Xenopus tropicalis: one gene and its partners. The protein of the gene in region 3 interacts with the protein of the main gene of each other region in a pairwise test. Links are inferred from orthologs where the notes say so. Each region holds a gene or a part of one and is shown on either strand. Other genes may lie near its edges.

Region 1 (4,070 bases), on a different chromosome or scaffold from region 3:
GAGCGAATCTGTTCCGTTTCGCTTCGCCGAAAAATTCGCGAATCTTTGAAAAGATCCGCGAAACGCCGAAAATGTCGTGCGACAAAAAAAATTGTCGCCCGCGGCTATTATTTTGTCGCGCGGCTATTGTTTCGTCTCCCGCGGCTATTGTTTTGTCGCGCGGCTATTATTTCGTCGCGCACGGCTCTTGTTTCTTCGCCTGCGGCTCTTGTTTCGTCGCGCGGCTCTTGTTTCGTCGCTCGCGGCTATTGTTTTGTCGCGCGGCTATTATTTAGTCGCCCGCAGCTATTATTTTGTCGCACGGCTATTGTTTCGTCGCGCGCGGCTCTTGTTTCGTCGCCCGCGGCTCTTGTTTCGTCGCACGGCTCGTGTTTCGTCGCGCGGCTCTTGTTTCGTCGCCCGCGGCTCTTGTTTCGTCGCCCGCGGCTCTTGTTTCGTCGCCCGTGGCTATTATTTTGTCGCGCGCTATTGTTTCGTCGCCCGCGACTATTATTTTGTCGCCCGCGACTATTCTTTTTTTACGCCGGCGACAATTTTTGGACGTGCGGCGAATTTTTCCGTGGTTAAATTTTTCATCCGTTTCGCGAAACAATCCGCCAATGGCGAAACGCGGAAATTCGCCGCGAATCCATGCCTGGCGAAACTTTTCGCCCATCACTAATAATAGCCTCTGGGAAGGGACTGGGGCTGTGGGATAGCAGGTATAGTAGGGAGAGATGGTGCCTATAGTAGCAGTGGGATAATAGCCTCTGGGAAGGGACTGTGGCTGTGGGATAGCAGGTATAGTAGGGAGAGATGGTGCCTATTGTAGCAGTGGGATAATAGCCTCTGGGAAGGGACTGTGGCTGTGGGATAGCAGGTATAGTAGGGAGAGATGGTGCCTATAGTAGCAGTGGGGGGATAATAGCCTCTGGGAACAGACTGTGGCTGTGGGATAGCAGGTATAGTAGGGAGAGATGGTGCCTATAGTAGCAGTGAGGGGATAATAGCCTCGGGGAAAGGACTGTGGCTGTGGGATAGCAGGTATAGTAGGGAGAGATGGTGCCTATAGTAGCAGTGGGGGATAATAGCCTCTGGGAAGGGACTGTGGCTGTGGGATAGCAGGTATAGTAGGGAGAGATGGTGCCTATAGTAGCAGTGGGGGGATAATAGCTTCTGGGAAGGGACTGTGGCTGTGGGATAGCAGGTATAGTAGGGAGAGATGGTGCCTATAGTAGCAGTGGGGGATAATAGCCTCTGGGAAGGGACTGTGGCTGTGAGATAGCAGGTATAGTAGGGAGAGATGGTGCCTATAGTAGCAGTGGGGGGATAATAGCCTCTGGGAAGGGACTGTGGCTGTGGGATAGCAGGTATAGTAGGGAGAGATGGTGCCTATAGTAGCAGTGGAGATGACAGCTTCCAGTAGGCTCTGGAAGTGAAACTGAACAGAAAGCATTACTATCAGTATTGTCTTGGTGACAAGAGATACTTCATTGATGCAAGTTCCGGCACAACCAACTTGTCCCTAAGTATTCCTCATTCCCTTCTGAATGCAGAAACTTTTAATTTCACAGTACAGAACCAACAAGATGAGTCTTTGTGTCACTGTAATCGATGAGTCTATTTATCACAGAACTCTGCAAATGCTGATAGCCATTAAATGTAAGAGTAGATTTGTCAATCCTATTGAATAGCTTCCCACATAAAACTATGGATTTGTCTCAACTCCAGTACTTCCGCACTTCAGTACTTCCAAATGCAAAAAATAATCACCTTCTCCCCTTTCCTTTTATCTAAGAACTCTTTTTTTGTAAATTAGGACTATACTTACATACAATAAGAATTGCACTCAATGTTGCTATATAGTCAAACAATGTTGCTATATATATATACTGTATATATATATATATATATATATATATATATATATATATTATAAATATATATATATATAGTAAACAATGTTGCAATATGGAGTCAAATGTACACAAATATTTATACACTTATATAACTCTCTTCAAGTTTCAAAAAAGTGACTATTAAGGGCAGTGTAAAGGGTAAGTGCTTACACTGCTATTTGCCATAGCCATTCTTGTATGAATAGGGGAGTGCTGTCCATATCATTTAATAACAGCTGGGGGACCCCGGCTCCCTAAGTGAAACATAGAATAGGGCTGTACATATAAGGTACAGGCAGGGAACACACTTCTGCCCAGAAGTCATTTACCATAATATCAAGGGGCCACAATAACACCTCATCTTACTAAGCCAATACACTATATAGCCTGATGTACTGGCCCAGGGACTGGACCTTTATACATAACCCATTAAGGTTTAGGTGTTGGTGCTGAAGTACAAGGTACCACTTCTCAGTATAAAAGTAAAAGGGATGTTGTGCCAGACTGAGGATGCTTCATGCTCTGTATGCACTGCAGCCCCTGTAGTTGCCCCCAGTACTGAAGCAAATGCTGGAATTGCCTCCCCTTCCCACTCATGCCCTTACCTGTTCCTGTGCTGCTCCCACGCATAGTGCCCAGCCAGTGGGTGAGGGCTCCGGAGAGGGGATCTCTACCTTGGGGGGAGGCGCCCCCTTCCCTGCACAGACAAAGAGCCCACGCCGGAGGGTTCCAGGGAGATGCTGCTGGGGCTGCTGCTGCTGGGGCTATTCCCCTGCTGCCCTCCTGCTCCCAATCTAACGCAGTGTCACAGAGGGGAGAGTTCGCTCCTAAGCGCATCCACAGCCTGCAGTATCTCTGACCAGCGACCCTGAGGATGCAAAGAAGCAGCTGCGACGGGTCCAACCTCGCTCATCCCGAGCGAATCCGCTGGCTGCATCAGCACTCTCTGTTTATACTACGATTGGGGAGCCGCGGCGCCCTCTGCTGGCCCTACTGGGAACTGCGCTCGGGTAAACCAACCAGAAAAGAGCAGATGGGAGAATGGAGTCAGGATAGAGATTTGTTCCTTTATCTCTTCTTTTTATTGTGGCTGCTCTCTGTATCCTTAGTCTCTATCCTTGCACACTTCTATAGATATCATCGATATTGACACTTATTGGATGTGTCTGGTGAGGGTAACAGTCCCCAGTTAATAAATGGCTGCCAGGTAGCTGCTGAGGCGACCTTATTAGCAGCTGCGCTAGGAATAAACTGGGATAATGGGGTCAGTTAAGGACAAGGAGACAGAGCATTAGCAGGGTATATACTATTGCTATTTTATTATAATGGATTCATACATACTAATTGCCAGCATTTGTTTACAAAGTGTAGATATTTTATATAAACATATGTTATACATGTGATGCCCAAAACTTTTAAAGTTTTTGTTTAAGGTACACAGGTAAAGTAGGGTAGGGTTGCCACTTGTCCAGTTTTTACCCAGGCAGCCCAGTTTTCCGATACTGTTTGGGTAAAAACTACTAAATTAGGAAATCTGGACAGGACTTCAAATTAAATGGTGTGATGATCAGCCAATCACTGATTGCCACATCATAACCCTACTCCCTGATGTCATAGTCACACCCTGGAATGACATCCATCCCATGTCCTGTAGAGTGCTGGATGCTTACTTCTTGGGTTTAGTGTAAGCAGTGTCGGACTGAGCCAGTGGGCCCTGCCGGCCCAGACCCAATCCCCACCGGAGCACCCCTAGTCCAGTTATTTCCCTCCCCCAATGCGCTGAAGTTAAGCTTAATTAATGGGTGCTCGGTGGAGGGGGGTTGGGCAGGTGGCGCCCCCTGCAGGTGTTGTGGGGGCTGCTGCAGGGGCCCCTGCATGGGTTGTGGATTCGACACTTAGTATAGGCATAGGATCTGTTATACAGAGTGAGTTCGGTGGGAGTGAGTTCTTAGCATTCTTGAGGGAGGGGGAAGCAGGAGAGGGGAGAGAGCAGAGAGCTGCGTGTCTCTCATTAATTACAGACTCGAGAAATCTTTTGACAGAGAATTCAGTGCAGCATTACTGTAAGTGCTTATGGCTGTATTTACATAGACTTTTCTGATAAAGCTTACTTAGTTTTTACCTTTCCTTCTCCTTTAAGTCTGCTGAAAATCATTTAAACTTTAAATAAACCCAATAGGATTTCCACCAATA
Region 2 (3,202 bases), on a different chromosome or scaffold from region 3:
TAAATCTAACATTAGTGCTTATACAGAGGCAGAGCTATGGGATTGAACAGACTCGAAAAAGTTTTATATTTAAAAGGACCAGTTCTTTTTACCTCCTAAAATTCCAAACCGGAGAGCTGCTGAACAAAAAGCTAAACAATTCAAAAACTACACAATAAAAAATGAAGACCAATTGCAAATTCTCAATATATTACTCTCTACAGCATACTAAAAGTTATTTTAAAGGTGAACGGTCTGGGGTGTCAAGGGCCCACTGGGGCTGCCTCCCCACCCCAGACAGGAAGGTCCACGTACAGCACCCCCCTCCGCGATCAGGGTGGGAGCTCAGGCGCACTGAACGGGGCAAGTCCAGTTCCCGGCAGGGGCAGAAGAAGGAGAGGGCTGGGTCAGTGGAGGCGGCAGGGCCCACTGGGTTTTTTCCCCCGGTGTCCCACCGGCCCAGTCCGACCCTGTGTAAGACTGACAGAACCGCACACGGACATATCCAGTCACACAAAACGTTTGGGTTAAACATTCTGATTTTAATGGAAAGGTGCTGAACTAAAGGAAAATGTCAATGATTTTAAGACTCAATAAGCTGATTTATAGCACGAAACCTGAAAAAAAGAATAGAAATGAAGCCCCCCCCCCACTCAAGGAAACTGCAATAAAGTCACAAGCAAAAAACAAGTCTTTCTTCGGCCCTTTTGTCACTGATCAAGAATGGATCCGGAAGGCGCCGGTACAACATGTGCTGAATATGGCCTCACTCAGGCACCATAGTTCTGGATTTACACAAGGACACGCAGCGGCGCAATCAGTAGCAGAGGCATTGGTAAGAATTGGCAGTAGTGAGCAACGCAGAACCATCGGACACATTCGCGCGTCGCTTCTGGGCCGTCTGCACCGCTGCCAACTCCTTTGGCTTTTATCTCAGGAGAGACGGAAAGAGTTATGTCCCTTAGTACAGTGGGTTCTTCAGCTGGTGCAGGAATCTGATTACGATGTCTTGCAGCGTCTGAGGAGAGAAAGGGAAACGCTTATTATATAGAGAATAACAGCGCTGGTTAGCCTGGCGCAATGCATCTCGTGCTCATACTGGCATGGAAATCTTCCAGAAAATTCCCCTATGGTGCCTATAGCCCCCCAAACGGACCATGCAATTGATTCTCCCTATAAACACTAGCTAGTGTCCAATGCTCCTCGCTTGAGTCCCACCCCCTGGATTATCCCTCATCTACAGTCTTTAGGGCCATATTAATATATAGGCACCTAAGGGCCTGTGCCTAGAGAACAAATATATTTTGTTCTCATAACACAGAATTGGGCCCCAAGTGCACAGAGACCCAAAGCGAGACCTCTTTGCCGTACCTGGGGCTTGCAGTGCTCCTCTATCCAGGCAAATACGCATGCAGACAGCTCTTGAAAGCTGTTCACGGAAACAGAAGAGTTAAAGGTGTGAAACAGAGAATCCATGATGCCTTGGAACACCCTGAATTTCATCTCGTCCGGGACTTGATCCGTGCCCTCATGGAGATTGTTTTGATGAGCCTTTACGATCTGCTCGTAATTTCTGTAACATGGGATATATATCATCAATAGATTAAATGATAGAATAATATTAAAATAGTTTATTTACTGCTGCTACAGATGGATAGGTCTGAATATTCATTGCTTGTTGTTCAGCCTGACCCACGTAAGCACTTATGGAATATAGATTTGTCAGGTTATGAAATTGGTACAGGCTGAATTGAGCGGTTTATTTGGTTCATACTGCAGCCCGAGGTACTTCTGCTCTGTGTCTAGAACGAGGATCCCCAATGATTTTTTTGCCCCAGGAGCCACATTTAGATGACAGAAGAGTTGGAGAGAAACACAATCCTGCACAATACGCCTGGGGTGCCAAATAAGGGCTGTGATCGGTTATTTAGTAGCCCCTATGGGGACTGGCAGCCTACAGGAGGCTACTACTGTTTGGCAGTACACCTAACCAAAACTTACATCTAAGTCAGAAATTCTAAAATAAACACCTTCTTTGAGGTCACTGGTTGGGGACCACTGGTCTAGAAGATAGACTTTCTTATTTCTTGTGTTTCCATTTGGAGTCAACATGTTACTCACCAACCCCTTGGATGTTGCTCCCAGTGGCCCCCAAAGCAGGTGCTTATTTTTGAATTCCTGGCTTGGAGGCATAAAACAACAGATGTACTAATAAAAGAAAATCTCCTTTAGGCTGCCAGGCCACATAGGGACTACCAAATAACCAATCACAGCCCTTATTTGGCACCCCTCGGTGCTTGTGTCTTTTTTTTTTACATTTGAATGTAGCTCACTGGTAAAAAGGGTTGGGGACCCCCGTTATAGAAGTTGCATGATACTGGACTTTCTCTTCAACGTTATGGCATTTATTATAGGTTTCTGTTAGAGCCTCTTACCCTACCCATGTCCTGGCGAGAACTGACATATATAAACAATTATTCCTTTCCTTGTCCTGTATGTAGAAACTGCATATAAATAGATTCTACTCCAGTTTAAGCAGAGGGATTCTCTGTAAAGTTGTAATCTAATTATCTGCCTCACAAAGACCAAACATGGAAGAGCTTCAGTTTCCGTGTTTAGCTCAAGACAAAAACCACAGATGTTTTGTGATTAAAACAATAGGCACAAGCCCTTTCCATTGCACGCATGTTGCACAGGGGGGCACAATGTGAGCCAACCACAAACAGATTTTATTCACCCCCCTTCGTAAGCATTCAAATAGCAATGGATAGCTTACGATTTCATAATCTGCAAAGCCATGACCTCCTTCCGTAATGTGGACACGTCATCCTCCTGCTTCTTCTTCTCCTTATTGAGAAACTGGATATAATCTATGGCTGTAGGAAAGACAGGAAAATGGATTATGCCCTTGAGTAAAAAACACACATTACTATTCTTTCATGCTTTATTGCCCTTATTTTGCCCATTTATGAATTGCACCTCTTTCCCCCTTAGTTTACCGCAGTACAACACACCCACACCGTTACTGAACTGTCTGGAAATAAAATGTTTCCCGCTCCCGCTAACCTGCCCCCATTGGCCTATGGGCAGCTCTAATCATATAAAAATCAAGGCTTGATTCTCTATTAGTCTATACACGGCATAGGGTGTGGGGTTTTTTTGTAATAAATAATAAATGAGCAAGAAAAAAAAGTAAACGCATGCTGAAAATAACGGAGCCTTA
Region 3 (3,500 bases):
ATCTCCCATATTAAGGAAGAAAAAAAAATTGATAGGTAAAGTTCCATTCATACCAATAATAAACAACCGTACATCCTGAATGCAAAAGAATGTTTGCAACACTATATGGATTACATGAGCTGGTCCCTGAATAAATAACCACATGTTCATTGCCTCTGGCACTAGTGACTCAGGAGTACGGTCAACTATGGAATGGAATCTGTCTTTTCCACTGCCCCACCTCCGCAACCTGCTCTCCATTGTTTATGAATAAGGGCATGCCAAAAGTGTTCTCACGTACACGGATGATGGAGTTCAGCTCTGGAGCAGTCACTTGCTTTGCTCGCTCAATGGCTCCCAGGACTTGCTGCTGGTGCTTAGGAAAGATCAAAGGGTCAGAATTAGTATGAGGCAGTCATAAGTAACTCTTGCCAGCAAAGTAGTTTTTAACAGCATCTGTACATAAAGCTTGCTTTGTCACTGCTTTCAGCCAATACTGTTCTAGGGAGATTTGTCACCTAGCAAATCAAGTACAGCCAAAGATTCCCCATATTGCTGCTACTTTTTCTAGATCTGGCCAACCATTGCTTTTTTTCTTAAGCCCCCCTAAACCATTGTTCTCCGCAATAAAATCTAAGGAAACTGAATATTCTGTGCTGATAAAATCAGACATCTACATTTTGGAGTCAAATATATGTGGCACAGGCATATGTCACAAAACTGCCCTTTTTGGTTGCTGCCTTTAATGTACAGGTATAGGATCTATTATCAGGAATGCTTGGTAGCTGGGGTTTTCTGTAATTTGGTAAACCATACCTTTATTTCGCTTAAAAAGAGAATATTAAACAGTGGCATAACTACATGGCACCAAGCCCCCCTGCAATAAGTTTTTTGGATGGGCTTGGCGCTCACCCCAACCTGTACCTGCCAAACCTGTACCCCCCCATCGCTTCCCTCCCATATGTGTCTCTCACTCCCTGCCTGCTCTCAGGGAAATCTCTATAGCTACAGATGAAGTAGATCCTCTAGTTTGGGCCCGCCTGCCCCCACCGATAACTGCATGGTCTGTTTCCACCACTGACATTAAATAGACCCAATAAGCCTGATTTCCACCCGTTATCCAGAAAGCTTTGAATTTCCATTTTAATTAAATAATTCAGACTTTTTTTTTTTTTTTTTTAAATTCCCTTTTCTCTATAATATTAAAACAGTATCTTTTACTTGATCCCAAGAAAGATATAATTAATCCTTTCTGAAGGCAAAACCAATCCTATTGGGTTTATGTTTAAATGATTTTTTAGTAGACTCAATGTATGGTGATCCAAAATCACGAAAGACCCCTTATCGGGAAAACCCCAGGTCCTGAGCATTCTGGATAAAAGGTCCCATATCTGTATAACAAGAAATATACAGCTTTATAAATATACTATTTTTCCAATGTAAAATCATTTTACACAGCTTTAAATATTAAATAAATCTCAGAATGTAGGGCCTTCTACCCTGCTGCAGTATATAATTCCACATCACATGTAAGAAGTGATACAGGGCATGCTAATAACCATATGTTCAGTCTGCCTCTGACTGCATTTATCCTGTGGCTAGAACAGTCTTCATTTCCATAAGTAAATACACTGAATGAAGGCTATTCGGAGGCATTACAAAGCAGACATATTCCCTGCTATCTAAATGCAAATATCTATAGAATAAAAAGACACTAATTAGCCAGCATTTCACTGGCAAGTGTGTCAAAGTATCCTTATGGCTACCCTTGCGCTTCTTACATTTCTGTGGAGTTTCTTTCAATTCTTTATGGAATTTTCATAACTCAATTATCAATTGTCATCAAAATATAGCCCAAATAGAAATAGCCAACACTTAGATTTGTTTCTCTGTACTAATGTCAATGGTTTTATTTGAAAAGCTGATTGCAAATAGCTGAGCTATAGTTTTCTGCATCCTCAGAAATTAAAAACAATTATGGGATGAGGCGATTGTGAATTCCTTGACTTTGCCCCTGGCAGAGTAACTATGCTTGGATTTACCATTAAGGAAAGGGGAAGACATTGTATTACTGCTACCCCTTAGCAAGGGGAATGAATATCTAAAGCTGTGGGCTACAGTTCTTAATTTTTTTTTTTAAAGGAAGATTTCCCACTTGCCCCAGACATCAGAATCAAGGGTGGCTTAGTGTGTTCAATGATCATTTTATTTCTCAAGGATTGGCATTTATATGTGAGAAACACCAAGTTGTGAGACAAGCTCTGGGGCACTCCTGATAAACAAGAATAGAACAATCTGTTTATGGAAACCAGATAGATTTTTTTTTTATTTGATTTCCAGAAATTACTACAGCCAAGACAAACAATATAGAAGATTCTAATGTGTTCAAAGGCAACTAAAACCTTCATAAACATTACTTTAATTAACATAAGGCTGCTTCCCAGAGCTAGCAGTCCTATGCCACTGAAGACAAAGGCCCGAAACATTACATTCTGAAATCCCCCTGAACTGGCACCTCCCCCAATAGAGGAAACGGCATATTACCAGTTGGCCTGGCTCACATGCTCAGTACTGACAAACGCTGGTACCCTGCAATGCTTCAGAATGCTTAGGATGAAGTATTACAGTAAATAAGCAGGGAGCATGGCACCTCCATTTGGCAGTTTGGTGGGACCCCATAAATAGAAGCTCTACAGAAAATAATGGGCTTTATTAACTCTTGCATTTCTGTATTGTGGAATACATAAGAAAGCAATGGCACAGCAATGCATACTAAAGTGGTATAATCCTAATGGTTAGGCAGAAGAAATACTTTTCTCAGTCAGAAGGTAACTTTCAGTATATTGGGAACTTACCTCCTGTGAGAGATAAGGCAACACCTGTGCACAGATTCCATTTAAACGCTTCACTATTTCAGCCTAAGTTGGAAAAAAAGGAGAAAAAAAATTATTGGGAAAATGCAGCTATAAGTTTGGAATTATGACTTCTATATAGTGCTCTCCATTATGTTTGAATGCCTGTGGGATTATTGAGTGTTTTATGAGAGTGAGATGCAGTAACAAGTTTAAGTAAAATCCGAAGGCCTGAAGTAAAGGCTTACACCGTCACTTTTTTGTCTAGGAAGACAAGAATTGGGAAAAGAGATATTTTAGAGTGCACAAGGCAGCATTACCTGGTACACCAGTCCAAGTCCTGACAACTAAGAGGTAGTACATGCCTATAAAATATTTTTTTTCAACATGAGTAAAAGTTATTTTTTATTACAAAGCAGTGATGGAAGTTTGCTTTCACACTTACAACCTTGCCATTAATTAGCTGAATTAGTTTAACTAGAGGGCACCAAGCTCTGTATAAACAACACCCTCCTTCACAATGTTGTTGTGACTGTCATAATAATATCATTATCGGTCATCATTTATATAGCGAGTTATGCAGCACTTCACATTAATTTATAACAAACAGGGATCTTACAATAATTTAACAAACAAGGGTTACACAGTAAAATGTGGATTAGAGGGCCC
Region 4 (3,967 bases), about 10 Mb from region 3:
TTTTTTTGTCTGGAGTAGATATGCCAGTAGAGAAAAGGCTGATCTGCTCAAAACTGCCCTGGTGCAAATATGCATCTTGACAATTATATACTGTGCTGCTAACATACTTTATTTTGCTTAGTTTATATTTTCTGGGATGTGGTGTAGGGTGTTATTCTGTTTGAGAGTTTATTATGGATTGCAGTCAGTGTTGAGCCTAAAGAAATTGCAATTGGGCCCCCATCTGCAATGCACCCCACTAAATGAGCACCCTACCTGCCATCCCTATAGCGATAATGCATGCTGCTGGGCCCTGTGGGACAGGCCCTGCTGCATTTATACCCCCTGCCCCAGCTGTAGTCACACCACTAATTCCAGCATGGCTTTTACTGAAATAAGTTCACTGTATTCAAGTGGACTGTGATTCTAACCTGGAGGGGCAGATTTATGATTGTGCAAGCCTTTTTTCCCCTGAAGCCCTGTGTGAGTTCCTTAACCCACATGGGGCTTTTTATGATTGCTGGAGCCGAAAGGCTTGAGCAATCATAAATCTGCCCCATAGTATTCAGACAAACTAAATCTCACCCCTTAAAATAGCAGTTCAGTGTAAAAATGAAACTGGGTAAAATAGATAGATTGCGCAAAATAAAAAATGTTTTCAACATAGTTCGGAAAAAATGTAATCTTTAAAGGCAACCAATCAGTAATTTGATGGGGGAGTTGCATATGGGACATAACTGTTTAGTTAATTAGTTGAATCTGACCAGCGTGCTCACAAACTAACTGAACAGTTTACTGTCCCATGTGCCCCCCCCTAAAGTCATTGACTAACTAAGAAGTTAGAGAGCTAAAAGGAGGAAGTAGTGTTCTGGCTATTATGTTAGACATCTATTGACTCCAGCCTTTATAGATTACATTTTTGTCTAACTAACAATATTAGAAATATTTTTTATCCATTTTACCCAGTATATTCAGTCAAACCTAAAGATAAATTATGTGGTGCATCCCTACTGGGTATAGCAATGTAGGAGACAAATTGCCTCTGAAACTGCTTTTAGACATGTACCAGCCCCTAAATGCTTTGACAAACATATTTTTTTCCAGTAGTACTTTCTCTTCATGTGTCACTGAACTTGAAAAAGGCAATGTCCTCCTTTAGCAATAGTCATGTTAGATGGTGTAATATGAGTTTATGTTGGACATGCAACAGATGGTGTAATTATAGTACTTTATGCGTATGCTCCTGAATGATGGTGGAAGCCTTATGCGCATGAGTTCTTTATACACATCAAAGATTTGATGAAATGCTCCTATTATGATCCTGAAAAGTAGGAAGAATAAGATAGTGACATCCGATCTTTCCCTGTGCCTGACCCCTGCTGTTGCGGCTTTTAATATCTCAATATTCAGGGACAGTATAAAAACAGAACAACAGAAGAATGGTAAGGGGATTTGGATTAGGAGCTCCCTAAAGTCATGGGGAATAAGCAAACTATTTTCACTGCTGAACAGCTTGATACATACCAAGTAAGTTTCTTACTCTTACTTTCTAAAACTAGAAGGTTTTTGTTTCATGTGTTTGGTAACTTAAGTATTAGTTCTTGCATAAGGCAAAGGTTTTCCTTAGATGCTAAATGGCGCTATTTATATATATAAACCAAGATTTATCTATTTTCCAATAGTAATTTTTTTTATGTATTTTAAATGCCACACCACAACAGAGAGACTGTGATATATCATTGTTAATATTTATATTAAATATTGTTTTTTTCCCATCTTTATACATTAATCAGACATGTTCACAAGTGTACTATAAAGATTCAAGTCCACTTGTGATTTTCTAGGTTAGAAAATGGTATATACAGTGCTTAGCATTTAAGTAGCAGCTCCATCATTTTAGGATTTTTAAAAATATACTATTCTTTATTTTTATAACCTCAACATATTCCTGCCGCACTTTACAGAGTTTGTTATTTATTTACATATGCTCCATTGCAGTTTTTCAAAGGAAAAGTTGAAAGCATCAGTATACCAGCTTTAGGTTTCTTGTCCCTGTTTTACAAAAAACTGAAATATTGAAAGCTGGCATAATTCAAGTATAGCCTTAGAAGACCAAAACACTGCATACCTACATGTAAAACCTATGTATCATTTTAGGCTGATTACACATGGAGCATTTTCTTAGCGAACATAGTTCAGCCAGCAGAGAAGTGCCCAAACTGCCCTAGGTGCATTCCATTATTTGTAATAATGACCCCCTGACACTGCCAATACTGGAGGTTTTTTAACCTAAAATGCTCTAGGGTGCATTTTAAGAATGAAAATGGCCAGTACTAGAGTAGGTGGGAGATTTCTCAGTAGGCAGAAATATGGATATAAAGCACTCTGTTTGCCAAGAGCCTTAAAAATCACTCATTTATACTTTTGCTAAATGGAGCCGTAGATTAGAACTCAAATATGTGCTGTATAGATATATCTTATTGGATAGAAAAACTACTTTAGGACAAAAAATGATTGAAGTGTAACGATTACAACAACAAAAATTACTATTTCTTCAATAGGGATGGCAGTTTAGAATGTTAAAAATACAGGGGGTTGTGGTAGCACTCCAAGTCCAATTATCGAACAGATAAAGTGTAAGGGAAGTGTTACTGATCTGACCAATGCTGCTCAGTACTATTTTCATTATACTTTGATCACAGCCCCCTGTATCTATATATTTCAGTGGAGTTATTTTGCAAGAACGAAGACCTAATTTGCAGGTGGTTGTAGCACCCCACCCAGTATGTAAAAGGCAGTCTTAAAATTTTCATTGTTTGGCCAAAAATCAATTCTTTAAAAACACAAATGCATTTACAAAGAATAAATTTCTAGTAAAACATAAAGACCAGGGAATATATATTAATCAATTCCTTTATTAGAATCTAGTCTGCATGAAGTCAATAATTAAGTGATTTCCAACATAACTAGATATGCATTGTTGAAAATGCTAGTCATCCACTGATTAGGTAGCAAATATAAAGGGCAAAGTAAGATTTACATGCAAACCTAGTTAAGTAATTCTGATTTCACATTACAATACTATGCTAGTCCTGTGGCCTGGTTTTCTTGGTTTCTGATACCCCTTCAATTCGTATACCCATTACAGTCACAAAGTCTTACCTCATTCAGTCTTGAGACCTAACCTAATATAATGAACCTTCCTGATCATGTCCTCTAGGCTTGCCTCTAAAGGGTAAACCCTTTCCTGGTACAGTTCTGGTCTTTTGCCTAACCCAGTCATTCAGCCTTACCTTTATGATTTCTAAAGCTTTATTGGTTTCAGCCCAGTAAGTAGCCTTACCTTGCCTTTTGCAGTCCTTCGGCACTTGTAGCTTCATCTTTTACACCCCTATGGTCCTGCCAGTCCTTCAGCCTTCAGTCCCTATCTGCTTTCCAGAGCCTTATCTGTTCCATTTCTGTAACCTTATTTGTTTCACTCCTGCTGTCTTAGCCATTTCAGTCCTGCAACCTTAAAGGGGACCTAGTTGAGTAAAATAAACTTGATTTACACTGTATGAATTATTTAAATGTTGTTTTTTTCAGTCTTGGAATTGACAATCATAGCAGGTAGGCAGGCACTATTTTGTGGGTACTGTTATTATAGAGATACTGACACCAGAAATGCAACCTTTTTTTATATTTATCATAACATTGTCTTTGCATGCTATTTATAATGTTGTACAGCTTTTTATGTCTGGGTGACATGACCCCTTTAACCCTGTAGCCTTACCTATCCTGGTCCTATTAGTTTCAGCCCTGCAACCTAAACTCAATTTCAGTTAAATAAGCAACCTGTTTAGGGCATGTTATTTTGTCTGTGAAGTCATGAAGCCTTACTTTTTCCAGTTCAGTGGTTATGCATATTCCAATCAACCTGCATTTCCAGTTACATAGCCTTACCCAGTACTGTTGTCTCTTTACAGTTCCATGGTACAGTCTCTTTAGA
Region 5 (4,004 bases), on a different chromosome or scaffold from region 3:
TGTCCAGCCGCAGGCCAACAGTTGGACAGCCCTGCTCTAGATCATCTGAGAGTTATGCAAAAGGCTGTTATACCAGGGTCAGACTGGGGTATGCAAGACCCACCAGGACTGCTACCCCAGGGGCCCCGCCACCTGCACGATCACCCACTGCCAGCCACTCCCCCCGCGTGCCATATACTTTTTTTGCCTCGATTGGGGGAGAATTTTGGTGTCCCACCGGCCCAGCCCAACCCTGTGTACTCTATTGTCATATATTTTTTCAACCTCACCTCCAATGTTAATATATGAAACGCAGATGAAACCCTATTCTAATTTATAGGGTAGCACACATATCATTTACATGCTAATTGTGTAGCAGAATTTCATATTTGTTTTACATGCATTACCTGTCTAAGGGCAGTGACACACAGGGAGATTAGTCGTCACGCGTCAAATCTTCATTGTCACGGGCGACTAATCTCCCCGCAATGCCATCTCACCGCCTAGAATGTAAATTGCCGGTGGGATGGCATACGCGGCATTGCGGAGGAGGATGGCATTGCGGGGAGATGTCGCCCACGACAATGGAGATTTGTCGCAGCGCGACTAATCTAACTGATAAAATCATATTAAAATCACAAAGAATGACCTTGCAATGCGCCCAGATTAAATTTTCAGAGTGAACTGCATAAGGGATGTGCTGCAGGGCAGTGTTCCAGACATGGGAGCATATACCTGGAATGAACGACCAGTGAGCTTCCAGAAGATGTTAAACTTTACCTTCCACCAGCAGCTACTGGAGGAGGATGAGAGTTGTAGTTTATCAGCAACCAGATCTCTTCAGAGGCTGCTAAAGGTTTTGTGCTGCCCATGCAAGTGCAGCCATACTGTACAGTTCTTTAATAAATGCCCCAAGTTCCAAACCATTATCTAAAATATCCAGTAAGATTATCTCACAGTTGGCTCCTCTCTATCTGCAGCAGCAAAGGAACTATGATATCATGCTGCCTCTCTTGTGCGGGGCTGTGGTGTGTGGGCAGTTCCAGCACAGAAATGGTTATAGGAGGACCAGTCTTGCCTCTGTATTGTATTGCTGTTGTGATGGAAGCTTTAATGTGGCCCTTCCCCCAGTCCTCCTACACAGACCCTGACACACAGAGAAAGTCTCTCGATGCAATGTGTATGTGGGTGGGAAACAGCAGTGAGTGCTCGCCAACCCCAGGCAGGGAAGAACTCCTCTAAATCAGTAAGTTAGAGACACAAAACAATAGTACTGACTGGAAAAGGCAGGAGCCAGGAACAGAGGTGAAGGACATAAGCTAAGAGATACGGGACAGATGTGTGAGACACTACATGAGAAGAGTGAGAGGCTGATTTGAAATATGGTCGGAACTGACTGAAACTGAAAATAAGCAATTAAATCCCAAGGCAAAGCCTGTTAAGAGCAGAGGCAGGAACAGGACAGGCCAATGAAAAAGCAACATCAATTAAACAACTGAATTGAGCTGTCACTTTCCTGGGGAAACTTTTGCTCAGACTCCTTGGTTATCCTGTGGCACATGCAGAAGAATTCCCTATACATGGCAGAGAGAGGTGCAAGAGCAGAAGAACTGAAACGACCGCCCAAAGCAAGGCACGTAAGTTAGCCAACAAATGGGTTAATATGGAATGGTCACGGTCATTGTGTCATTGCTTGATAACTTTAACAGTGTGGAATGCACTGTCAGTGGGTCCCAAACCTTTTTTTTCCAGTTGTGCTAACAGTCATGGTCATTTACAGTACGGGCAAGCAAGCACCCAGGGCTCTCAAGAGCATGAATTAGTAAACTTTGGACACTTAGATGTTGAAGAACTTCACCAGCATTCTTCCAATCAAACAACTGGAGGTGATGTTCTGCAATGTCTGAAGTGCCCAGGGTTGCATATTCCTGCACTGGATCTTTAACCAATCATTTTATAGGTCAGTCCTGGTCTGAGGTGAGAGTTCCTAGCACCTGTTTGTATATCCAAAAAAGTATGTAATGAAATGTGATGCTGGAGGTTTGAGAACTGCTGTGCTTAACTGATGTACGCTACATTGATGGGGGCATTTGCCATGTTTTGTACAGTAACTTGTATATACCAATGATACCAGCAATAGTGTAGAGGGGATTTCTTTTCTTTTTTATGTTGAAAATATAAATAAAAAGTTTCAGTGTGTGCTGAACCTATAGGGTCCTCTGTTAGAACTCAACCAGGACGCCCATTGAATGTTCTCCCCATACTTGTGTAGGTTTTCTCTGGGTGCTTTGGTTTCCTCCCACACCCCCAAAACATAAAGGCAGAATAATTGCTAACAGGTACCTAATTCTCTAAGCTCCATCGGACTGTTGAGAATGGTTAACAATCTCTTAACTGTCAAATGTGCTGCACCATATAGATAGTAGTCTAATAACCTGTAAATCCTATGGTGCTATTTCAAAGACCTGTTGTTTAATGTTCACAATGCTCATTGTGAATAAGTCATGGAAGGAGGTTGAGAAATGGGCTATTCAGACACAATTGTGAAAACATTTTTTGTATTACTTGTTTTTGTGCAAAAAAAGACTAATATGTTATATAAAAAGAGTAATACGTGTAAAATTGCTTCGTTAGTATATTGAGATCATCTTTTTCAATTCACAAGGGAGGATACCAGGGAAAGTTAGTACAGGTATAGGACCCATTATCCAGAATGCTCTGGACCAAGGGTATTCCGGATAAGGGGTCTTTCCGTAATTTGGATCTCCATACCTTAAGTCTGCTAAAGAATCAACAAAACAATAATTAAACCCTATGGGATTGTTTTGCATCCAATAAGGATTATTTATATCTTAGTTGGGATCAATTAAAAGGTACTGTTTTATTACTACAGAGAAAAAAGGAAATTAGTTTTAAAATTCTGAATTATTTGATTAAAATGGAGTCTATGGAAGACGGGCTTTCCGTAATTCGGAGCTTTCTGGATAACGGGTTTCCGGATAAGGGATCCCATACCTGTACAATGAATGTGTGACTATATTTGTGTTTGCTTGAAGAAGACTGGCACCTACAGAGCAATGGGAAGTAGTGGCATTAAGCTCAAACTCGGCAAAATGGACCAAAATAAATGCATTTTGCTCTAATTCTTGTTTGTAATAGAAGTAATTATTAAAGGTAACATTTACAGCACTTCTAGAACAACTTTATCAGAACAACTAAGATCATTACTAAAAGCACTCTGTCATAAATATGTAAAAGTAACTATCACCAGCGTATATAGGCCATGTACTCTTCCTTTCTCTGGCATCTGGATGTTGGATATGATCCAAGAAAAGACTGCATTACAGGTCTTCTGGTTATATCTCTTTCTGTGGATGCAATTAAAACATTTATATAGGGAATAATGTATCCCCTACTGTAAAATAAAATTATATAAGAATTCACTGAAGAACTCCATGACAATATAAAGCACAGGGTCTCAGTCTTAGTGCTTTTAGTGTATACAGGTATGGGATCTGAAACCCCATTATCCAGAAAGCTCCAAATTATGGGAAGGCCATCTCCCACAGAGACTATAATAAGCAAATAATTCAAATTTTTCAAAATGAAATCCTTTTTCTCTGTAAAATAAAACCCTTTTTCTCTGTAATAATAAAACAGTACCATGTACTTGATCATAACTACAATATCATTAATCCTTACTGGAGGCAAAACAACCCTATTGCGTTTAATTCATGTTTAAAATATTTTTTAGTAGAAAGATCCCTTATCTGGAAAAACCCAGGTCCAGAGCATTCTGGATAGCAGGTCCCATACCTGTACTGTTCAGGCAACTCCAAGTTGATTCCTTATAGCCTTAATTTAGAAACAAAGTTTCAGTGAGTCAGTTGGGCCTGATTCTAACTGATGACATCACTATACACTGTTTATAGGGCTATATTTTTACTCATTACTAGTGTATTATAAAGAAATAATGTCTCCTGCCAAATAAATGTAGTGATATCTCAATTGGCTCAGGTCTGTGT
Region 6 (3,500 bases), on a different chromosome or scaffold from region 3:
TTCCCCTGCACCTCCTCGTGCTGCAATCTGTCCATCAGCTGAGCCTGCAGCAGATACTGCCTCTGGATCTCCTCTTTCTCAATGGAGACTTGCTGATATGCTGCACTGTACTGCTGGAGGTGAGCGGAGACCTCATCTCGCTGACTCTGCAGAATCTGTATGTCCTGCTCCTTTGCAGCCAGCTGGTCAAGAAAGGACACACAGAGAGCAAATTGGTATCACTATGTACAGCCCAATGAAACAGCATTTATAGATACTGCATCCATTGCTGACCTGCTCTTTGAAATCGCCCAGGGTCTCCTGTAATTGCCCCAGCTTCTTGGCCAGCTCCTTTTTCACATGCTGCTCACTCTGTAATGCATTGGTGAGCTCCATGTTTTCATTTGTCTGAAAGAATTACAGAATAGTAAGTGGATCAGTCATAGTCAATATATTGACATACCAGGGTTATATATGGAAGGTCCAAAGCAAACACCTAAAGCGGAACTCTGGCTTCTGTACCAAAATGTTTTAAAGAGCCCCACACAACACTGAAACCCCTAATATACCTATCACTGTAACCTATATAAATAAATACCATTTTTATATGCTGAAATCCAGATGCAAACAGTTCCTATTTCTGCATCATTTAAAATCCTGCCAGGAAAGGGGGGACTAAAACATTGATGTCACAAATTGTAACAACTTCTCCACAACTTACAGACAGCATGCAGGTACTACATAACCCACAATGCATTGCACTGTGATGTTCATTTCCTTATTGATGTTATGTATGCAGGTTATAACTAAATGGACCTGACCTGTCCCCCAGCCCCTTAATGGGGTAGTTCACCTTTAAATAAACTTTTAGTTTGATGATGTAGATATTGATATTCTGCAATTGGTCTTGATTTTGTATGGTTTTTTTGGCTATTTAACTTGTTAAATAGTTACCAGCAGCTTTCCAGTTCAGTGAATATCTGGTTGTTAGGGTGTTATTTACCCTAGCAACCAGGTAAGGCCTCATAAATAGACAAGGAATAAAAAGTCACAATAACAATAAAACTGTAGCCTCACAGAGCTATAGTTTTTAACTGCCGAGGTCAGTGGCCCCTATTTGAAAGAATATAGTAAATAAATAACGAAAAATGCAGTGTTGCTAGGAATAGGACATTCTATCACATACTAAAAGTTTACTCAAAGGTGAACCACTCCTTTAAAACCAATAAGGCTGATGCAGCTGTTCTGTCCAACTTTAGACTCCGGGTTCAGACTTGAGAGAAAAAAAAGGACAAGAATGAGAAGCAGCTGCTCTCCATGAGCAGCTCTGCTACATCTTATAGCTTCCTTAAGATGCAATTCAGACAGAAGAGACGATAAGAGCTCATATAGGGAGACATGCCTACCAGTTTGACAAATCCATTCTGGAGCTCGGCCAAATGTTCCTTCAGTTGCCTGTTCTGGGTCAGTGCCCGGCTAATGGTGGCTTTATCGCTCTGCATGTTTTCCAGGATCTGCTGCTTGTCTACGTTTTCTTCACTCTGGCGTTGTAACGTCTTCTCCAGTTCCAGTAGCCGCTCTTCCTGTTCCTGGTTCAGCCGGCTCAGCTGACTGTTGTCTTGCACCTGGGCCTGATACCTTGCCTGCAGATCACTAAAATTCTGCTGTAGCTGATCCACCTCTTGGTGGAGGGCCAGTTCAGTTTCAGAGGGTCCGGCAGGGGGTGTGGGCTCAGTGTCTGTTGGTTCAGCAGCTGAAATAGCAAAGCAGTGGATTAAGGCAAAGGAACATGTGAAGCAGAGCATCACCAAGCTGGTGTGGGACTATATTCATTGTGAAGACATCTTTGTTTCCTTCCATGCACATACCTGATGCCAGCAGGAGCTCTGTCACCCTGGTCTCCAACTGTTCTACCTGTACCTGAGCTGTCTGTTTCTCTTGGCCCAAGGTCTGGATCTGGAAATGAGAGAATAGCATTCTAACTGCAGCTTCAGATTCCATATATTAAAATTACTTACATTTCTACATAGAGGAGTTTATTACTTAAAAAGGTAGATTGTATTTTTGTGGGGTTCCCACATTTTTTTTTAAAATTCTGGGGTTGCAGGTTTTTCCCCTCTTTTACAGAGCTAATGGTCTTCCCGCCCAAACCTGGCCCTCCTCCTCCTTTCACCATTGCTATTGATGGCATGACCATCAACCCTGTAAATTCTGCACGCTGCCTTGGGGTTATCTTTGACCAGTCACTCTCCTTCTCTAACCATATAAATAACACTGCCAAAACCTGCCGTTTTTTCCTCCGCAATATTGCCAAGATACCAGGGCTGTGGAGTCGAAGGCAATTTTGGGTACCTTGAGTCGGGAGTCGGCAAAAAATGAACCGACTCCTACTAAATTTAAATGGGAATTAAAAAAAAATAAAATAAAGCAAGTTTAAATGTCCCAATTCAGAAACAGTCATAATTAATTACTTCTCTGCTATAAGAATAAAGCCCAATGCACGCAGTGCATAAACGAACACGTTGAGTGACACGTTGAGTTAGTTTTAACTTAAAACTACCAAAGAATGTGGTTTGTTTTGAACTGGTAAAGTTGCTGTTCCTGATTTTTATGCCAGCTATTACTATCCAGCCACGTGTTTAAAAAAAAAAATAAACAAAACCTTGTTGTTTTCATTGTGTTTGTCTTTTGCTTTAATTGGGCAATACAGTAGAGTGTTGGCTTCCTAGCCAGTAGTTCTGTGGTTAAATGACATGTATGTCTCCTTCCTTTCCTTCAATGAATGTATAAAATACATTAGCATATTAAAAACAGAGGAGTCGGAGTCGGAAGTATCAGAAACTGAGGAGTCGGAGTCAAAGTCAGAGAATTTATCTACCGACTCCACAGCCCTGCAAGATACGCCCCTTTCTTTCACAAGTAACAGCTAAAACACTAATACATGCCCTTATCCTTTCCCACTTAGATTACTGCAATATCCTACTAACCGGCCTCCCAGACTCCCACCTCTCTACCCTGCAATCAATTTTAAACTCTGCTGCCAGGATCCTCCTGCTCTATCCGAAGAGGGAACCTGTTCAGCCTCACTTAAGCTCTCTAGCATGGCTGCTTGTTAAACAAAGGATAGCTTACAAAATCCTTCTACTAACATTCAAAGACCTTCACTCCTCTGCTCCTCACAACATTTCTTCACTGGTCTCCCTGCATGTTCCTGGTCGTCTCCTCCGGTCCTCTCAGAGCCTCCGTCTTTTTACACCATCCACATCCACTGCGCTCTCTCGTCTTAAACCTTTCTAGCTCGCTGCTCCTTACCTCTGGAACTCTATCCCTGAATCCCTCCGTAGGGAACACTCACCCACTCTCTTTAAGAAAAAACTCAGCTGTTACCTTCTGGAGCACTAAAACATTATTTTTTATACCTGGTGCACTCTTACCTTCCAGTTTGTGCCTGTATGTTACCCAACCACTTAGATTGTAAGCTCTACGGGGCACTTGTTTATTGTATTTATTTATTATATCAC
Region 7 (4,174 bases), on a different chromosome or scaffold from region 3:
GGGGGGCTAAACTGGTAATTCACAAAAAAATCTGTGTAGACCGTGCCGCCACGTATGCCATCCCACCGGCGATTTATATTTTTGCCGGTTGGATGTCATATCGGGGAGATTTTTCGTGGGCGACTTATCTCCCCGTGTACCAGAGCCCTAAGAAATAGGCTGATAACAGATTGCAATACCACTTGTATGTATGTATATCTTTATTTATAAAGCCCTACTTATGTAAGCAGCGCTGTACAGTACAATACCACTTTTTATCAGATTCTAACACGACTTAAGGTGGCCATACATGGTAAGATATTCTTGTTGGGAGAGATCGCCAAATGACTGGATCTCCTACCAATATTCCCTTATTCCATTAAAACCAATGAATTACAACTAAGGGTACAGGCACCGTAGGATTGACACGTAAGTCATCCCGCCAGTGATTTACATTCTAGCCGGTGGGATGGCATTTCAGGGAGATTAGTCGCCCGCAACAAGGAAGATTTGTCACGCTCCGACTAATATACTCCTGTGTCACAGTCCTTAAGCTACAATCACAGCATGGAAAAGAGCTAAAAGGATTGTGTAATCAAACGGGTAAAAAAGTGATTTGGTTTAAGTTTGCAAATTACCCAAACAGATGAGAAATCACTGAATAGTGTAGTTTTCCTGCAAATACAATCTGTATTTTGAGGATAATGCATCCAAACTGGAATGCACTAGTGACGCCCCAGATCAGTAAACAGCAGTGAAATGGCTGCATGCTGCAGGTTAGCCCAGGTATGCGCTGTAAGTTGGCAGGTTATGTTTGTTACAAAAGTAAACATTTAGTCATATTAGTGTATATATAAAAGTTTTTAAGTCAGGAAACTTTACATATCACACCAATGGTTTAGTTTAAAGGAACAGTAACATTAAAAAATAAAATAAGCTACGTGTATGTAGCTCTTAGACATGGATTCAAACAATGTGCCTTTTACCTTTTTCAGCTTGAATGGCTGTGCCTATGGCTACAGAGGAGCGTGTTTATATATAGTAGTGTTACTGAAGCAATCATCGGTTTTACCAGTGCAGGGCAACAGTACATTATAATGTAATTAATTGTTTAATGTAACTGTTGCTTTAATATCTAGGAATATCTGCTGGAATTCCCCTGTAAACACACACAAAGGCCCTTGATTTTAAACTCTCTGCATCTAAGAACCCTGAACTTGATCCAATGAAAGGTACACTAAGCCCCAAATCACCGGCTAAAATTATTTTATAAAATATTTAATACTGCAGTATGTTTAATACCCCAACATACATTGTGAAAGGCACTGGACCTTTATATCCAAACAATAGTACAGATAAAGGCTTGGTACAAGGTCTGTACAACTTGCATCCCTGTAATACCCCTTTACCAGACCTAGTCTGACCCTATATCACTGTGTTAAGTCCATTAAAGGAACAGTAACACCAAAATATGAAAGTGTTTTAAAGTAATTAAAATGTAATGTACTGTTGCCCTGCACTGGTAAAACTGGTGTATTTGCTACAGAATGCTCCTATAGTCTATATAAATAAGCTGCTGTGTAGCCATGGGGGCAGCCATTCAAGCTGGAAAAAAGGAGAAAAGGCACAGGTTACATAGCAGATAACAAATAAACTCTGTAGAATACAATGGCATTTTATCTGTTATCTGCTAAGTAACCTGTGCCTTTTCTCATTCAAATGGCTGCCCCCATGGCTACACAGCTGCTTTGCTTATATAAACTATAGTAGTCTTTCTGAGGCAAACACACCAGTTGTACCAGTGCAGGGTAACAGTGCATCATATTGTAATTGCTTTAAAACACTTTCATATTTTGATGTTACTGTTCTTTTAACATTGATTTAAACCCCCCATACACTGTACATCTGTGCTTAGAAACATAGTTCATACATTATCACCATGAGCTGAAACCAATCAATCATACTTAGTTGCAATACAAAATGGTGTCATGGCAAAATAAAAAAAACTTGCTTTGTAGATGAACAGGACTGCCCAATAGCTAGGCCTAATACATTGCTAACTGCATTATGGGGGCACTATGGGGCATTATGCCATGGGCTGGGGGTTCAAACTAAAGGCAGTTAGAGATTTGGGGAGAATGCTTATTTGCTATTCAAGATTCTCCCATAAGCTCATCCTGTAGGTTTATGATGTTTATGGATGAGCAAGTATTTATTGCCCTAGATATCCTCTGGACTATGGCTGATACCCCATATATGTTCCCCTGTATTATAACTTAGTATGTGGCCCCTGACCATAGCTTGCACCTTTAAAAATAAAAATAAATAAAGCTTGAACGGGAAAAAATTCTACGATCCATTTTAATTATTATTTAATGTTTCACACAAACTGGCCAGTGAATGGCGCTGTCTCATTGGGTGTATTGAGATTCAGCCCGATAGCGCCACAAATAAAGCCATACAAAGTAAGGTCGCTGGGTCGATCATCATATGTTTTTTAATCGGGATTATTTTAACAAATGAGGCCATGGCAACGCACAGCATAAAGGAAGGTATAAAGGAAGGTATAAAAGGGCAGAGTTGCAGAAGCGGCAGGCCGCCCCACGCCAGCGGGACCAGAACCTTCGGGCCTACCCAATGGGCTACGTAAAGAAAAACTCCGCCCCATCTAGGCCTCAACCGCGCACATTTCCCTCTTCTCCCGCCACGCCACATATTATACGGCCCCAGGCCGGCGGCTCCCGGGTTTCACCTTACCTTGCTTATTTTCATTCAGCTGCCGCTCAAACTCGTCGAAGTCAGACATGATGGCCGCGCTTTATTGTGATGGCGGCGGCAGGCCGTGTCCGAGCGCCAGTCCTGCACTCTCTTCTCGCGCTCTTGTTCTCAGAGGAAGGAGTGGGAGGAGGAAGGAGACAACGCAGTCGCAACACGCTTACCAACCAGCTTGGCGGCTTCCGGAAGTAGCGGGGCAGGGGCTTGTTAAGGATTCGCCCGCTTCCGGAAATGATTGGGCGGAGCTTACTATTTTCTCGGCTTCTTTTGAAAAGGGCTTTACTGAAGCGAGAAGACTTCCGGGAACTTCGACAATTTTCGTAAGTAGGGGGGCGTGGTTTATTCAAACATATATGTTTCGGACGGACATGAAATAGAGCCGGCGGAAGACGACGTTAATCCGGTCATTTAAGTTTAGAAGAAAAGGAGACATCGATGCAATTAAGGTGGCATGGCTAGCTGAGCGTGAGGCCTGTTAAAATTAGACACGGACATAAATAAAACATGTACATATGTCTCTTTGTAGGCGGTAAATACATATTGACGGTGTGTTCTCATTTGTAAGGACAGCCTCCTCCTGATTGGTGCAATACACGTGTTTTCAGGAAGCCCAACGTGCAGGGCCAATATGAGCGTTGTACTGCGATGTACCTCTCCTGTTTTATACACTTTGCTATGGGATCCGCAATGTGTTATCTTCCTCCAAATACTGTTTTGTTGCATTAAGAAAGAAAAGGGAACTTGCAGAGATGGATAGTCACATGTTACTTTAAAATATATACAATATTATGCCAAATAATTATACTAATCTAAATATAGATTATCCAGAGAGAATCCTCCCTCAGTCTTTTTAAAACTAAACTAAGATAGTACCTTTTGGAGCACTCACCCAGCACCTGATCTGGGGACTAGCACTTATATTGTAATGTTACCCACTGTGACCTACAGCACTTATATTTGCCGATTTGTGTCTGTAAGTTACCCTCCCATATAGATTGTAAGCTCTACGGGGCAGGGACCTCCGTCCTCTTGTGTCTTTGACTCTTTCAACTGTACCTTGTATTTATTGTTATACTTTGTATTTATTATTATCTTAATAACCCCATTTGTAATAATCTATTCTACTGTACAGCACTGCTTACATAAGTAGTGCTTTATAAATAAATAAAGATATACATACATATAGAAGGAATGTGCCTGAAAAAGTAGTGTTTTAGGCAGCCCATTCTTTTTTACTGGCCTATACTGACACAGGTTGATGTAAGTGCTGAACGCAGGTGGAAAGCAACATTATGCATCGGAGGGCCTCATACACAGGCAGATAAGCTGTCAAATCAGTCTGACTGGGTTAAATCACAGAAACCCCTAATCACTATAATCTGTTCTTTGATACCATTTTTAAATGTTGAAATCCAGTTGC

The links.
Region 1: the proteins of tle5 (region 3) and mtus2 interact in binary tests that used the Homo sapiens proteins (3 or more experiments, as listed by UniProt). The two-hybrid records come from large-scale screens. The link is inferred for Xenopus tropicalis from reciprocal best matches to the Homo sapiens genes TLE5 and MTUS2.
Region 2: the proteins of tle5 (region 3) and mlx interact in binary tests that used the Homo sapiens proteins (3 or more experiments, as listed by UniProt). The two-hybrid records come from large-scale screens. The link is inferred for Xenopus tropicalis from reciprocal best matches to the Homo sapiens genes TLE5 and MLX.
Region 4: the proteins of tle5 (region 3) and cib3 interact in binary tests that used the Homo sapiens proteins (3 or more experiments, as listed by UniProt). The two-hybrid records come from large-scale screens. The link is inferred for Xenopus tropicalis from reciprocal best matches to the Homo sapiens genes TLE5 and CIB3.
Region 5: the proteins of tle5 (region 3) and nab2 interact in binary tests that used the Homo sapiens proteins (3 or more experiments, as listed by UniProt). The two-hybrid records come from large-scale screens. The link is inferred for Xenopus tropicalis from reciprocal best matches to the Homo sapiens genes TLE5 and NAB2.
Region 6: the proteins of tle5 (region 3) and golga2 interact in binary tests that used the Homo sapiens proteins (3 or more experiments, as listed by UniProt). The two-hybrid records come from large-scale screens. The link is inferred for Xenopus tropicalis from reciprocal best matches to the Homo sapiens genes TLE5 and GOLGA2.
Region 7: the proteins of tle5 (region 3) and u2af2 interact in binary tests that used the Homo sapiens proteins (3 or more experiments, as listed by UniProt). The two-hybrid records come from large-scale screens. The link is inferred for Xenopus tropicalis from reciprocal best matches to the Homo sapiens genes TLE5 and U2AF2.

The regions. Positions count from the first base shown.
Region 1 is NC_030678.2:154,747,922-154,751,991, forward strand, and holds the start of mtus2 (microtubule-associated tumor suppressor candidate 2), read right to left. Parts: upstream 2,801-4,070; 5' UTR 2,483-2,800; intron 1-2,482. UniProt on the Homo sapiens protein: Binds microtubules. Together with MAPRE1 may target the microtubule depolymerase KIF2C to the plus-end of microtubules. May regulate the dynamics of microtubules at their growing distal tip.
Region 2 is NC_030686.2:6,137,877-6,141,078, forward strand, and holds the end of mlx (max-like protein X), read right to left. Parts: intron 2,856-3,202; coding exon 2,756-2,855; intron 1,553-2,755; coding exon 1,351-1,552; intron 998-1,350; coding exon 941-997; 3' UTR 501-940; downstream 1-500. UniProt on the Homo sapiens protein: Transcription regulator. Forms a sequence-specific DNA-binding protein complex with MAD1, MAD4, MNT, WBSCR14 and MLXIP which recognizes the core sequence 5'-CACGTG-3'. The TCFL4-MAD1, TCFL4-MAD4, TCFL4-WBSCR14 complexes are transcriptional repressors.
Region 3 is NC_030677.2:114,608,411-114,611,910, forward strand, and holds part of tle5 (amino-terminal enhancer of split), read right to left. Parts: intron 2,898-3,500; coding exon 2,835-2,897; intron 356-2,834; coding exon 281-355; intron 1-280. UniProt on the Homo sapiens protein: Transcriptional corepressor. Acts as a dominant repressor towards other family members. Inhibits NF-kappa-B-regulated gene expression. May be required for the initiation and maintenance of the differentiated state.
Region 4 is NC_030677.2:104,261,276-104,265,242, forward strand, and holds the start of cib3 (calcium and integrin-binding family member 3), read left to right. Parts: upstream 1-1,167; 5' UTR 1,168-1,455; coding exon 1,456-1,506; intron 1,507-3,967. UniProt on the Homo sapiens protein: Acts a an auxiliary subunit of the sensory mechanoelectrical transduction (MET) channel in hair cells. Plays a role in regulating hair cell MET channel localization and function.
Region 5 is NC_030678.2:139,231,720-139,235,723, forward strand, and holds the start of nab2 (NGFI-A-binding protein 2), read left to right. Parts: upstream 1-1,204; 5' UTR 1,205-1,559; coding exon 1,560-1,612; intron 1,613-4,004. UniProt on the Homo sapiens protein: Acts as a transcriptional repressor for zinc finger transcription factors EGR1 and EGR2. Isoform 2 lacks repression ability.
Region 6 is NC_030684.2:22,913,211-22,916,710, forward strand, and holds part of golga2 (golgin subfamily A member 2), read right to left. Parts: intron 1,936-3,500; coding exon 1,848-1,935; intron 1,733-1,847; coding exon 1,386-1,732; intron 388-1,385; coding exon 274-387; intron 183-273; coding exon 1-182. UniProt on the Homo sapiens protein: Peripheral membrane component of the cis-Golgi stack that acts as a membrane skeleton that maintains the structure of the Golgi apparatus, and as a vesicle thether that facilitates vesicle fusion to the Golgi membrane.
Region 7 is NC_030683.2:104,041,734-104,045,907, reverse strand, and holds the start of u2af2 (splicing factor U2AF 65 kDa subunit), read right to left. Parts: upstream 2,801-4,174; 5' UTR 2,786-2,800; coding exon 2,737-2,785; intron 1-2,736. UniProt on the Homo sapiens protein: Plays a role in pre-mRNA splicing and 3'-end processing. By recruiting PRPF19 and the PRP19C/Prp19 complex/NTC/Nineteen complex to the RNA polymerase II C-terminal domain (CTD), and thereby pre-mRNA, may couple transcription to splicing.